2 linked regions of the Rhinolophus ferrumequinum genome follow. The protein of the gene in region 2 purifies or fractionates together with the protein of the main gene of each other region. This does not show direct contact. Links are inferred from orthologs where the notes say so. Each region holds a gene or a part of one and is shown on either strand. Other genes may lie near its edges.

Region 1 (6,881 bases), on a different chromosome or scaffold from region 2:
CTTTTATTTTTTATTTTAATGTCAAAATTTGTAATTTATTTGTTGTTTGGATCCATTATGTGCTCATAATAGTTGTAATGATAACTCAATCCAGATGACTTAAAAAAAATTAGGGTCTTTGATGGTCAAAGAAAATTTAAAGGTAATTTCAATATAAATGTGTGTGGGGTTTTTTTTGTTTAAGTTTACTTCAGAGAAGTATAATAGATGATCAAGAAAAGATTTCCAAGATTAAAAGTAGAATAAATTTCTGTGGAGAAACAAAGGAAATACAAATTCCTTTATTGTAAATATTTTATTTTAGAAGAATGATACTAGGTATCAATTCAGTATGGTATTAATATTACATGGGATACATTAAAATTTAAATTTTATTTTAGAGAGTCAATATTTATAACATAGCGGAAAATTCATATTTTGTTACTAAACTTATGAAAATTTTCGTGTAATTTAAATATGCATAAAACATCACTTATTTGTCAAAATTATTTTAGGGGACCTATGAGCAAAAATGTTTGAAGACTACTGCTTTATATCATGCTCTCTAAAGAATAGAATTTCTGAGTTTTAGAATACATTAGACTTTTGATGGGAAAACAATTTCATTCTTTTTCTTCATTTACAATATGATGTGATTATTCTCTTTTATCCTGTATTAAAGTGTTTAAAAGTGTATTTATGTTTTCTAATGTCTAAAAATAAATGGTGTTAGCCTTAACAACTAGCCACTTGATGACATTTTGGCGAAGTTGCAAGCAAATGAATATGGACAAATACATCGTTAAATTGCTCAAAATTTTCACCTGGAAATATGGAGAACTTTGTGTATTTAATACTTTTGCATACTCCAATGTTCCTGTTAATAATTTGCCATTACAAACGCTTGAATATTACTGGATAAGTAGTTTGAGGATCTTCTGGAGAATCAGTCTCATTTTTCTAAGGAAATAAATGTCCAGATCCTTATTAAAAGCAAACTTTAGTGTCTCTATGACTGTGAAATGGTTGGTAGGAAATAAATGAGAAGTTTAATATTTCTTTCTTTCTTTACTAATTGAGCCATTTAATTTTTAAATGTTTATATTAGTAAGATAACTGTTATATTTACAATGGGAACTTTTGATCTATTTTCTCTTGATAGTATTTATAGTGTAAACCGGCCTTATTACTGACAGTAAAAGTTGTACAAAGTATTTACACATAAAAAGTTATTTTAATTAAATTGAGATGAAGAGGATTTAGAACTGTTTAATACTTTTTGTTTTTTGCTCATTTTTTGCTAATTATTGAAGCTGTGATCAGAGGATGATAATACATATATCTAAAACTCCTTAATTCAGATCAAGTGACTATTACATGCCGTTTTTAATTCATTCTGATGTTAGAAAGGATACACAACTAAAGCCTTTAGTTGTGAATTAAGAGTGTCATAACTTCTTACCAAAGACAAAAAATCCTAAATTTACTTTAGGATCCAGTCAATAAAATTATATATTTATAAATATTGCTGTAACAAGAAAACCTAATGTTATCTTTTTAAATGTGATAAGCCTAACTTTTCACTTACATATTTGATACTTACAATTTTTTTCAGCTTTAAAGCTTATAACTTTTAGAAGAAATCAATCCTTTAAATTGTGTACTACTTAATTTTTTTTGTTTGTATTGTCTTTAGTATAATAAAAAAGTATCTTCATATATTATTGTCATGCTTTTTTCTGGTGACTTATTATACCAATTTTGTCTTTTAACATATTTCCTTAAACTGAATTAACAATTGGTTAAATATATAACAGTTTCTTGTCAAAGAACACAATGTTGTGACTCTTCCTATAATTTCTTCTCATGCTTTTAAAGTTAAAAAATGTAAGTTCAGGTTAACTAGAAAGGCTTTAATCAAAAAAGTTGTGGGAGAGGGAATAAAACAAAATTATCTAAATTTAGATAAAACGATGAGAGTACGTACATGCCTGAAAAGCAAATGTAACCTACAGATGTAAACCCAGAAACAGTCAAAAATCTAAAATATAAACTTTAAGGGGAAGAAATGAAAAATAAATCCATCAAAGGCAGCATATATTATATGAAATATATATTGTTATTTCTCAACAATGTTGAAAGGACATGACACAGAACAGTATTATTTCCCAAATTTATTTGAGCACAGAACCAATAATATATATTATTAATAATATATCACAGAACAATGGTGTTATAGAAGGAATAAATGAGATCTCACATGCAAGAACTAGGGTAAGGTATTTAGAGGTGATTTTTTTAAGAATGTGACCATTAGTAACTAGCTTCAACTAATCACGTCTTAAATTTGACCAGTTGGTTGGAATCCCGTCTTAGATAATACTCATTTGCTTCAAGAGTCCAGTGTAAGGATCCTGTGAGTAGGTGCCAACATACCTTAGGAATTTAGTTTGGTACTGAAAAAAGATACACATACATTTAAAAACAAATACATATATTATCTGAATGGGATGGGGATTAAGTTTGGAAAGAATTTCTTAGGGAGACATGACTGGTGCGATGTTTGGCGAGGCACAACTGGCCAATAGGGTAGGAACATCATAGGATATATAAAATGGCCTTGGAAGCAGAGAGGAATGGTGGGTTGCAGAAAGCACACTGGCATTCTTAGAGTGGGGGTACCATGGTAAAGACATTTTAAGATTGAAGGAAGATCTGATTTTAGCTGGGGTTTAGATTTGATAGAAAAGGACCATTGTTAATTTTTGAGTGTTCTGGGAGAAGCAATAGACTCAGGTCAAAGATTTGAACGTTATTTGCTCGAGATGGGAAAAGACCAGGTGGGGGAATTAGCTACTACACTGTAAGTGCATAAAGTACATACTAGATTATACAAATCAACAGTGGTAGTCACAGAATATGGTAAAAGGGAAAATCAGAGATCAATAAAAAATGGTGAGATATAATTTCACGGGAGTTTGTGCCCTCTACCTGAAATTGTGGCGCTTTTTAACTCTCCAGGGATTCAAAGAGGACAAAGGAGAATTGAAGAAAGAAATAAGGTAGAAAAGAATATAGAACAGTTAACTCCAGGCGAGAAAATAACAAACACCTCAATTATTTAAAAATGGAAAGCTATGCCCCAATGGCAATTATATGCTGTGATGGCCCAAAGCTCATATAATCTTTTTATAAGGACCCTTGGGCTGCAGTAACAGCTTAAATAAGCTGTTAAAAATTTCTAAAACAAACAGAATAAACACAAACTCTTACTCCCAAATTGCTCCAGAGGGTTCTCCAACACCCAAAGGCGTAAGGGTAGGTGTGCCAGCTCTGAAAACGCAGGTTTGCATTTTCATTTGCCCGGAGGCGTCAGCCTACCCAGTGCAGTTAATGACTTTTCCCGTTCCACAATGTTGGGACTTGGGGGATTTGCAAACTACCCAATCATTGCGACCTCATTTCAATGAGCGCCTTTCCTCCTAAATTGATTCTGACACCTCGTGCGTGTTTCACCGCGACCATCCAAGGTGTGGCGAGTGCTCCTAGCCCGCGGAGACTGAGGGCATCTGAGGCACTAAAGGTCAGCGACCCAGCCCCACGCAAGAGTAGAAAAACCCCTGAAACACAGACCAGGGACAGCTTCACCATCCGCGCGGCGACACAAGCCCCCGACGTCCGCGCAGGCGCACGAGGCCCGCTGGCCGAGGCGCGGTCGACACCGGAAGTGTCTCACGGCGCCCCGGATGCAACTGGGCGGCGGCGGTTGCCAGGGCGACGGGAGCTTTAAAGGACCGCTGGTACTGGCGATCGGCGACTTAGAACGAGTTTCCACTTGCGGGCCTCGACGGCTGGGGTCGTCATCTCCGGGCTCCCAGGATGTTCTTTTACCTGAGCAAGAAAGTGAGTTTTCCAGGGGGCTCCCTCTCTCCTCCTTCTTTCCCGCATCTTGCGGGAGATGACCAAATCCCGCCTGCGAAGCTAGGCGTCCTGATAGCGGTTTCGCAGTCCCTCCCCAACCTTCCTGCCTGGTCCAGCATCGGACCTCCTGCATCCTTGCCCGAGTCCCAGATAGTCCTTGGCGGAGCCAACAGCCGTCTCGCACGACTCTGTCCCTTTCTGTCCCATTCCTGCCCCTGGCCGGGTCCTTTTGCGGCGCCAGCAGGGCAGACCGCTGCGTGCTTCCCTATCTTTCCAAAACCTGTTGGTGAGCCAGGTGACTCAAATTCTTTGGACCATCACGGGTCGCCGAGCGAGAGAAAAATACTAACAAAAGGGTAGCCTACGTGTCGTGTGTGGACAGGGAATTTGGACTGATGGTATGGATTTATATCTCCGTGTCCCCCTCCTCCCTTTTAAAAATCCATCAGGCGACTCCCCCGTTGGGTTCCTCCGTAGTCACTGCCCTTGTCTTGTGTGCACTTTTTTCTCTTCCGAATGGTAGGGGCCCCGCGCAGTTCAGTGGGACTGTTTCCATTTTCATAACAAGTCACACTTCTGTAAGGCTGACCGTTTTTCGTTTTGGGGGCATTTTCTTCAGTCTTCATCTCCTGTAGACTCTCACTTCCCAACTCCTTCGCGAACTGCTGAGAGTGGCTGTGGTTGCTTTTCAGATTGCCATTCCCAATAATGTGAGCCTGAAATGTGTGTCTTGGAACAAGGACCAAGGATTCATAGCATGTGGTGGTGAAGATGGATTACTGAAAGTTTTGAAATTAGAGACCCAGACAGGTAAGTAAATGCAAGCCCAAATGTCTGAACTTGACGGAAAATTGGCTCATTTGTTTGAGAGTTGCTCATGTTATTGTCAGTATGCAATTTTAATTTTTTAAAAGGGCCCCTGTGGGAACAGAGCCCCAAAAAGCAGTTTCCAGGCTCTCAGCATCACATAGAAAGGTGCTGGCTCAGGTAGTAAATGGCCATCGACTGTGATCAAATGGCCATTAGCTGTGGCTAGTTGGCCGTCAGCTGTAACCAGTGAGCCATTGGGCACTAATATAACTGCTGTGGCTACACTAGTAGAAAATAGGGGCTAGCAAGAAGATGGTGGCTGAGCCTACAAGTGGTGCAGTGAGGGTTGCGAACAGTGTGGCTCCTGGTTCCTGTGTTTCCAATCCAGCCGTTGGCGAGAATATAGTAATATGACTCCCCTATCTATGGCTCCGTAGGTGTTCCTTTTTGGCCTCACCATGTCCTGCGTTCTTATGTGGGGAGCGGGAGCAGAGACCCCGCATGACACCCTGCATGACACATGGCATAGTCGGCAGGATCCCCCGCAGACCCTCCAGGCCACCCCGCGTGACACATGGTGCAGCGAGCAGGGTCCTCTGCACAACAGTCCCCTCCCCCAAACCCAAACACTTTGTGGTATTTTACTAGAGTGTTTTTGCAGTAAAGTTCAGAGAATATTGAAAATAAACGTCAGATGGCTTTTGCTGAAGTTCTTAATGGAAAATGAAAAAGAATGAAGAATGAAAACTGTCACTGTTGTCTGTGCTATGTCTATTTATTGGGCTATATTATTAGGAATCTAATAAAAATGAGGTGAGTCAGCATTTCAGTGAGGTCACGGAATCGTACATTTTGGCAGATTCTTTACAGCCTGTGTTCTCCTTTCTGTTTGTCAGATATGTTAATTATGTGCCACGTTCCCAAGAATAGAAAATGGGATTAAAAAACCATTTTTATTATTATAAGTCTCTTGTATTTACAGCTTGATTTCTCTTTTTCTAGTTCTCTGGTATCATAGCAAACAGTTTCATAGGTGTTTAGCATCCCTAGTGTTCTGGATTGGAAATCTAGACAATCCCCAATTCAAATTGGAGATCTAGATAAGGAGATTGGAGTTGGACTCTCAGCCCTGCCGTAAGACTACTGAATGACTTGCAGCAAGTTGCTGACTATCTTTGGGGTTTAGTTCACTCGTTTGTAAAATGAGGGATTGAACTAAATTACATTGCTTCTCAAACTTTATCAGGCATAAGAGTCATCTGCTGATGTTGCTAAAATGGATTTCTGGGCTTCAGCTCCAGGTGGGATCTGAGAAGATGCATTTCTAGTGATACAGATAATGCTGGTTCTCAGTCCCCAGTTTGAGTAACACTGCTTTACAGCTTTGAACGTGTATTTATAAGTATTTATTGAGCACTTTCTATGCACGGGATGTTTAACCTTCGCTGTTTCGTTTGACTTCACAATAATCTTGAGAGGTAGGTATTCCAGATGAGAAGACTGAGGTGCTGATCAGTTAATAACTTGTCCAAGGTCACACAGCCAGTAAAATCCCAGACAGAGCTGGGAGTTGAAACGAATTGTCTCACTTTCAAACCCTTGTTTTTAACAAGTGCACGAGGGCTCATGAACAGCCTAAGCAAACAGAGAATAGTTGTCTTGATGTGCTAGATTAATTATATGAAATAAAAGACAGATTTGGAAGGTAGATACTTATGTACCAATTAGAGTTTGGCTTCTGATGTTTAATAATTTAATCTCTCTTGTTAACTATCTTAAAAGAAAATAATTTTTCTTTTTTATGTTTCTCAAAAGTATACGTATATGGACGTATGTATTAATGTATTTATATATACGCTTTTATTTTCCTTAAAATATGTAGCAAATTTTAGTTATGTTAAGAAATGCATTCATTATGTTTAAAAATGAAGGCTTTTCCAAAAAAAAAATTAGTTCTTTTCCTGTTCCGCACTTTTAATGAAGTGGGGTTAGAATATTTTTTTGAAATTAGCAAGCAAGATGGAACAATAAATTCTTGAGAGGAGTGGAAAATGGAGTAAATTATTTGTTTTGGAACTTCATAATGAGTGTAAGTCACGTTGAAAGAGATAAATATGAGAAATATGGCTGGAAAATTCTAACAAGATCAGTGTATTGTAGTTAATAACAAT
Region 2 (7,476 bases):
AAGTTTTGCTCCAAGAGACGCATTAGAGCTGATGGTCCGGCTAGGTCTTATTTTCGGGGAAGCTCGGTAGGCCTTCCCTGACAACCTTGTCCAAAATAGCACTCAGTCAGCCTAACCCCTTATCCCGCTTGATTTTTCTCAAGTCTTTGAAACAGGGACAGCCTGACCTCTGAGTCCCAGCAAGTGCTTGGCACTCAATAAATGATCCTGGAATAAATGGTTATTCATGTTTGAATTCCCAAAATCCAGCATGGCACTTAACATATGCTCGATAGATGTTCATTGAACAAATGTTGAATGTAAACTACTGTGTTTTAAGGTGGTAGTGTAGGTATAGGAAGCTGTGCTCCCCACAACCTTGAGGTGGGAGTGGTAAGTTGATAGTGGGACTGGTTGGACGAGTATGAGGAAGAGCTTTTGTTTCTTCTCTGCAGGCATGGGTTGGAGTGGAAGCTTCTCTCCGGACCTGACTACAGCCAGCACCATGTGGTTACTAACTGCTCTTCATTCACCTATTGATGCCTCCCAGAAAAAAACGCCGCCAAACGTCCCAGAAAGCCCAGCTGCTGTTCCACCAACAGCCACTAGAGGGCCCCAAACACCGCTATGCATCGCCACAGTATCCCATCACCCACACTGTGCGGGCACCCAGCAAGCCCATTGACCACAACACTATTACTTCCTGGGTAAGCAGTGGGATTCCTACTTTCACTTTTACTCTGTTAAGCTTCTCAGAATACTGACTTTTCTGCTCGCTGAACCAGGACCTCCAAAGAATAAGATTCATGGGAGCAGGGACAAGGAGGCAGTATACTCTTTCTGTCTGTTGTCAGCCATCTCTTCTGCTATATCTTCTTTTCTAAATTCCAACTGAGGCATAGGTTAGTTGGAATTGGAGTCTTCCCCCCACATTCCTCTGAAGGAGTTCAGTATAAAAGTTTCATTACCCAGTACCTGGGTGAGAAAGCCGGATAAATGGCAGAACTAGTGAAAAATGAGATTGTTTTCTGAGCTTCATGAGAGGTATAGAGTATTTAGGTACTCTATTTACTCGTTAATAGATTGAACCTCAAATAAACCCCACAGAAATGGCATGGGTCATATTTTGACAGTTTAAAAGCCCTGGGAAGAGACTATAGCTACCAAAGTCAAGGAAGTAGTACAGCAAAAGCATAAACTCTGCTTAGGAGTGCTTAATAAATATAACTTGTTCAGGATTGCTTAGACAAGGCATAATACTTGCTCCACGATAGTAGAAACTTAAATGTTAGATTGCCCAAATCTTACATGCCTTTCTATTACTGTTCCATTCATTAGACAGGTATTTTTGTTTTGTGTCCATTACTATAGTGGGTCCCATTTAGGATTCTGGTTGCTGGTCATTAGATGTAGTTGCCTACCTAGGTTTATACTTGGTACTTAGCTATCCTTGCCTTTTTTTTTGATCCTTAGGTATCACCTCAGTTTGATGGAACAGCAGAAAGCTGGTTCCCAGCCAACCGGAAACGGAAACGTCATCACCGAGACCAGGCAAAACATTCAAGTCGAAAATCTACCACCTCCAAGTTTCCACAGCTACCATTTGAGAGTCCACAGTCTTCTACCAGTTCAGCCACACTTGGGATCCCCTTAACCAGGGAGTGCCTCAGTCAATCAGAAAAGGACATTTCCGGAAGGCGCTTAGTTCCAATGCTCAGTCCCCAGAGCTGTGGGGAACTGTCAGCACATGCACTTCAAAACTTACCTTATGTGTTCATTGCACCTGATATCCAGACCCCAGAGTCATCTTCTGGAAAGGAGGGGCCCATTCCCCCAGATCAGAGGGAAAATAGCCTGTCAAACTACTCCCTTCACACTAATACTCCCGAGAGCCCGGATCCTGGGCCTGTTCTGGTTAAAGACACTCCTGAGGAGAAGTATGGGGTAAAGGTCACATGGAGGAGACGACGAAACCTCTTTACTTACCTCCAGGAGAGAGGGAAGCTGAGCAATAGCCAGTTCCTTGTGAAAAACTGACTAGATTTCTCAGACAATAATCTCAAGAAATTGATTGCTGGTTTTCACTGAGTTGCTAAAGTCACTTTTCCAGCTCACAGAAGGGCACATCAGTAGAATAAAATGGAAATAATACCAATAACACCAATAGAAGAAAGGTATTTTAACTAGAGCCCTGGAGTCATAAGGGAATTCGGTTCCCAGATTTGCTTGTTTAAGTATGTTGTTATAAACAATTTTTAGTGTATAGACAGTTCACTTTATATTTTTCTTGTATTAACAGTTTAAAATTTTTAAATATCTTGTAGTAACTGTTTAAAATGTGTTTGTAAATAAATGGCCACAGAAAATTTTTCGAGAACCCTGATTCCCACTGCCAGTATGTGCCAATACTGCCCCCTCCATAATAGGTCTTCCTTGTTTGCTTTTACCACTACTCATTTATCCTTTAATCACCTCATTCAAACTAATAATTCATTACACATTTTTGAGTACCAACTCTGTCAGGCTCAGTGGCAGCTTCGTCTATGACTTGATGGATGAAAAAACTCAAAGCAAGCTCTGACTTTTTATAGTTGAGCTGCCACCTGTGCAACCTTGGCTCATGTGCTGAAGAAAGAGCAGCAAGCCGTGTTTGGCAACAGTAGGATCAGGGGTGGTAAAGGGGACATGTGTAAGTTACTTAGGTTTGCTGTGTTTCGATTTTTTATTTCCAGCCAAAGCTGTAAAGAAATAAGGTGGGAAAATGATTTCTTGGGGTAACTGTTTAAAATGTATATAAATAAATGTGGAAACTTTTCAGAGAATACTAATTGTAATTAACCTTTTCACTGCGTTGATTGATTTCAAGTTCTCCAAAATGTGTCAAAAATCCACAGAAAATAATTACAGTATTTATATTTTTAAGTAAATACAGCTAAGGTGCGACACTTTATTAAAAGAAATGATTAAAGTATAAAAATGTCCTATTGTTATTCATTTTTGAACAACACAAAAATATAGAAAAATGTGCATCTGCTTTCCTAAACTTCCTTTCTGGAGCCCTGAGCTCGTGGGGTAAAGTCAAATGCCCCAGTTAGTGGCATGGAAATGTCATTGGACTATAGACGAAAGTCGCAGTGAAAATGTTAGTGCAGTACTGCCCGGTCAACAAAATCCTTTGACCAATACAAATAGCATCTCACGCAACTCCATTCACTCAGCTTTAAGAAGCTACTCTGTGTCAGGTCCAGTCTCAGGTAGACGAGGATTATTCTGTTTGTTATAGATGGGAATTGGAAGCACAGATAATGAACCATGTTCAGTGTCACATAGCCAGTGGAGGCTGACCCAGCAAGTGCAACGCTCTGCTTTTCTAACTTGTGCCAACCTCTAGGCCTCTTAGAAATTCAAAAGCAATGTGGAAACAGCTTTGACTTTGGAATGCTATAAACGAAACTCAATCTGTGATAACTTCTGTCAGGATGTTTTGTAGGGACTATAATGCTGTATGTAAGTTGTTGGAGAGAAAGGAAGTGATGGTTGAGGACAAGATTTATTGGAAACGAGAGTACAGATGTAGATAGTGGATTTCCTTAAGGTGTTTGGATGTCTGAAGGTGGTCCATAGGTAAATTCTGTGTTTCCCTGAAAATGAGACCGGGTCTTATATTAATTTTTGCTCCATTAGGGCTTATTTTCAGGGGATGTCTTGTTTTTTCATGTACAACAATCTACATTTATTCAAATACAGTCATGTCATCTTCTGGAACATCTTCATAACGTACTAAATGTATCCATCTGGCTGAGATCTTAACTGGGGCTTATGTTCTGGGTAGGTCTTATATTCAGTTAACACGGTAGTAAAGACTCTTAGGAGAGTGTAGAGCAGGTCTAGGAATGCCTTAAAAGCTTGGGCTGGAATCGGGGAGGCTGAGGGAGTTCTGTGCTGTTGGAGGGCCAGAGCAGGTAACTCTAAGATGCATTCCAGTGGGAATGACTGCTGGCGAGGCTACAAGTGTGGTTCCTGGTTAGGCTCTGGTGTGTCCGGAAGGGATCCGACTGTGAGGGAGCTGGCAGAAGTCTGTAAACCCTAACATTACAGACCTCGGGAAGCGCTCTGGGATGGTTTCTGTGTGCAAACCGCGGGGGTGCGGGGAGGCCGTTCCATGTGTGGCGGTTAGTGGGGGTTGGGCGGCTCCTCCGACACACTGGCTTCCTGGCGGCGGGAGCCAACGCCGCTGACGGAAACACATTCTTCCATCTCGGCCCCTTCTCCTCTCGGCGAGCTCTACAGGGATCCAGAACTAGCGCGTCATCCCCGCGCGGGCGCAGGCGCCGGCGCTGGCGCCTTTAACTCGGGGTTCCTCTGTTCCTTAGATACCCTCCCGCAACGCGGCAAGAGCCAATAAGAGAGGAGCGGCGGGCCCGTGGGCCAATAGGCGGTGGCGACAGTGCGTGGTGCGGTTGTCAGGGGGCGGGGCCGGTTGCTGGCCAGGCTTGCCACCCTAGCAGCGGAGTAGGTGGCGGGTTCTGGACGTGCTGGCCACTTTCTGAGCTGCGGTGATGGAGGCGTCGCGCTGCCGACTCGGACCCTGCGGGGACAGGTCAGAAAGGGGTGGTGGCTGGTCTCATCTTGAGTGGGGCGGAGGGCCGAAGGGAGACAGTGGCGGTCCTCTTTGGAAGCTCTGAAGGACAGGGCGGTGGGCTCAAGTGCGGGAGGGAGGGACTGATTTGCAGCCTCCTCTCCCCTCCGCGGCGGAGGACCCCTCCCTTTTCCCGGGAGAGCGGTGGGGAGCGGCGGCTGCACCGGGAGCAGGGACTTGGTGTTCAGTCCCTGCTTGGGAAACTCCGGGGAGTTTTCGTTGTGAGCTCGCCTTGCCCTCTGCGGGCCTCGCTTTCACAAAACGCGTTAGCCCTGTGCCTCACGCACCGCCCAGGAGTGTCATACATGAGATTGGATGAAGTCTGTCCCGGGGTCATCGAAGCGAAATTTAATAATTTGCTCTAAAGCCATCGCTTTCGGCCGGCAGAGCTGAATTCTGGAACAGAATCCGAGGGCTGAAAACGCAAAACTATTCTTTTGCTTCGATGTCCTTTATAGTAATTATCTCTTAGTCAGGATTGGCTGTCTTGCTTGCAACGTACCAAAGCTCCCCTTTCTCTGCCATGTCCCTTTTTTGTACCTCGGCCAGAAGTCAAACGACCCGAAATCTCAATTTCTTTTTTGCCAGCTTAATGAAAAGTTAATGGGGAGCGGCGCGAAATCACTGCTTTAAAACTTTGGCATTGTCTGAAGATTTAAATCTTCCACCTCAACTCTACTCTCCTCTTTTTAGACCGTTACCACGGCAAATAAAGATTTAGCATGTAAGGATTTAGTCTGATATTTAGAATAATAGGTATTTAAACAATTCTAAACCATTTAAAACCGTCGCGAAGGAGGCATTGGGGTAAAGAACACTCATTTTCTTCTTTCATCAGGTTTTATTTACGTAATAACTGCTGTGTGGAATTTGTTCACTGCACTTTTTTTCAAGTCGACAGAAAAATAACCTACATTTTGCAAGTATAAATATGGAGGTGCTCGGAGGATGTCAAGTTAAAATTGAGCGTTTTCGTTGAATTCAGATGGTATTTCTTCAGTTGTGGGCACTCAGTAAATCTTAACTGACTGAATTTAAGGCAGTGAATTTCATGGGTACGAGATGTTTGATATGACTTATGATTTTGGTGTGTGTTGGGGAACATGGAATTGACTTTGAAATTGAGAATTGTTAATTTATTGGACCTGAAGTTTCAAGGGATAATTTTAAAGTTTTCCCCCTGTCTTCTTCCCAAAGAAACCAGCTCTTTAATTTAGAAATTGACATCAAAGGGGAATGTGTGAGTCACCAAATGTTTCTCCTGCCCTAGGTAATATTAGTGCAGCCTCTATTACTGTTTAACTCATTTGTTGTTGAGAGAGAGAGTGGAATGTCTCTTGCTTTTTTTGGCTCCTGGTTGTGTGTTTAATGTTTTTCATGAAATACATTGAAAGAGTTTTTGGCATTAATACCTTTCGATGTGAAGTATAGCATCCAACTTTTAAGTTTCCTGTGACTTTTTTCCTTCTTTGAATTATGTGACTGTTTTACCATGAGGCAGATTTATTTTCAACAAAGTAGAAAAATTATTAACAAATAAACTTCAAATATTTTTCCTATATCTGAAACATTTAGTGAGAATTGGAGCTGGAATTTGAAATAACACCCAGGACCTTTGTTGAGCCTACTAGGCATTTGACATTATAGATTCCCTGGAGATGACAGTGGTTGGCTGGTGCTGGAATGTGAGCTCGCTCTGGCCTCTTGTTCCTGATGAAGAATTGAACTTGTGGTAAGAGAGACTTTGCAGTATGATGTGACCTTGTGACCCAGAGGTGACTAAGAAAGTCCTCATCTGTCGTTTATCCATATGCCACGATTTCTCTTTAGAACTATGAACAGTAGTGGTAGCTGGAGCTTCTGTCTTGGCCAGGCTTGTTATCCTTTTCATGTTCTCCTTTTTAAAAATGTTTCATCAGATCAACAAATTGTTGGCAAACAGACTTAGCCAGTGCTTAAAAATTCTTAGATTAACTAATACGTGACTACAGTATGTTTGGCAAATGTCAGAAAGTACAGTAAAGGCCTGATAACATCTAACATGCATGTGTTTCACCAATTGTGAAGGCTACATACAGACCTAGAAAGGATAGAAAGTAATTCATTTCCTTTCTTCCAAGATCTTCCTGTCCAAGCAGACTGACTCAGACATTTTTTGGAATAGTTCCATTTCTGGCTTCTCGTCTTCCTTTCTGTGGAAACTCTTGTTTCCTCTGGATCTGTCCCCATTAAAAGAAAAGGTTAACGTTTCTTCTTACCAAGAGGAAAAGTATGCTTGAATTACTCAGAGAAGTAGTTAAAGCTGCCTTGCTTCTCTGTATTTGAGGACTTTAGGACTCAAAGGGCCTTGATAATTTCCTGAGTTCTATTTGAGAGTAGTTCCGCAGTGGAATTGTTAAGGCTTCTTTCAAACAAGAATTTTCTGTCATCGCCTTTCGCTCTATTTCCTCTAAGTCAATGCACTAGGAATAAACTCTTTGTACTGCTGAATCTATTCGGCCTCATCAGACGTCCTTAGTTCTTAATAATGAAACCTGCAACATTCTCCTGGCCTGGTTAAAGCTTAAATCCACTGATGCCTGAGAGAAGACACATTATCCATATGCTGATTGATATGCTGTCTTTATCCGCTCAATACTTGGTGTGAGTCTTGATAATGGGGTTGTCATCTCTGCCCCTTTCTTTGCCTTAGAACTTCTGTGAAAACATTAATGACGAGCACTGTATCATGAGTCACAGGACCTCTGGAGGATCACAGTTCTGAAAAGAATTATAGTAGTCCTTTTATGGTTCATAAGAAGATGGCACTTGCTGTTTTACCACATGGCACTGTAATGAGGGTGAGACACTGGAAGCTT

What was found.
Region 1: the proteins of TULP3 (region 2) and WDR35 purify together in Homo sapiens (affinity purification with mass spectrometry; 5 studies listed by BioGRID and IntAct, counting the BioPlex papers as one, with this or other methods). This does not show direct contact. The link is inferred for Rhinolophus ferrumequinum from reciprocal best matches to the Homo sapiens genes TULP3 and WDR35.

Annotation. Positions count from the first base shown.
Region 1 is NC_046296.1:58,845,005-58,851,885, forward strand, and holds the start of WDR35 (WD repeat-containing protein 35), read left to right. Parts: upstream 1-3,858; coding exon 3,859-3,882; intron 3,883-4,592; coding exon 4,593-4,710; intron 4,711-6,881. Other genes in the region: MATN3 (matrilin-3), read left to right, coding at 730-785. UniProt on the Homo sapiens protein: As a component of the IFT complex A (IFT-A), a complex required for retrograde ciliary transport and entry into cilia of G protein-coupled receptors (GPCRs), it is involved in ciliogenesis and ciliary protein trafficking.
Region 2 is NC_046293.1:87,867,599-87,875,074, reverse strand, and holds the start of TULP3 (tubby-related protein 3), read left to right. Parts: upstream 1-4,470; 5' UTR 4,471-4,538; coding exon 4,539-4,579; intron 4,580-7,476. Other genes in the region: RHNO1 (RAD9, HUS1, RAD1-interacting nuclear orphan protein 1), read left to right, coding at 519-686, 1,453-2,016. UniProt on the Homo sapiens protein: Negative regulator of the Shh signaling transduction pathway: recruited to primary cilia via association with the IFT complex A (IFT-A) and is required for recruitment of G protein-coupled receptor GPR161 to cilia, a promoter of PKA-dependent basal repression machinery in Shh signaling.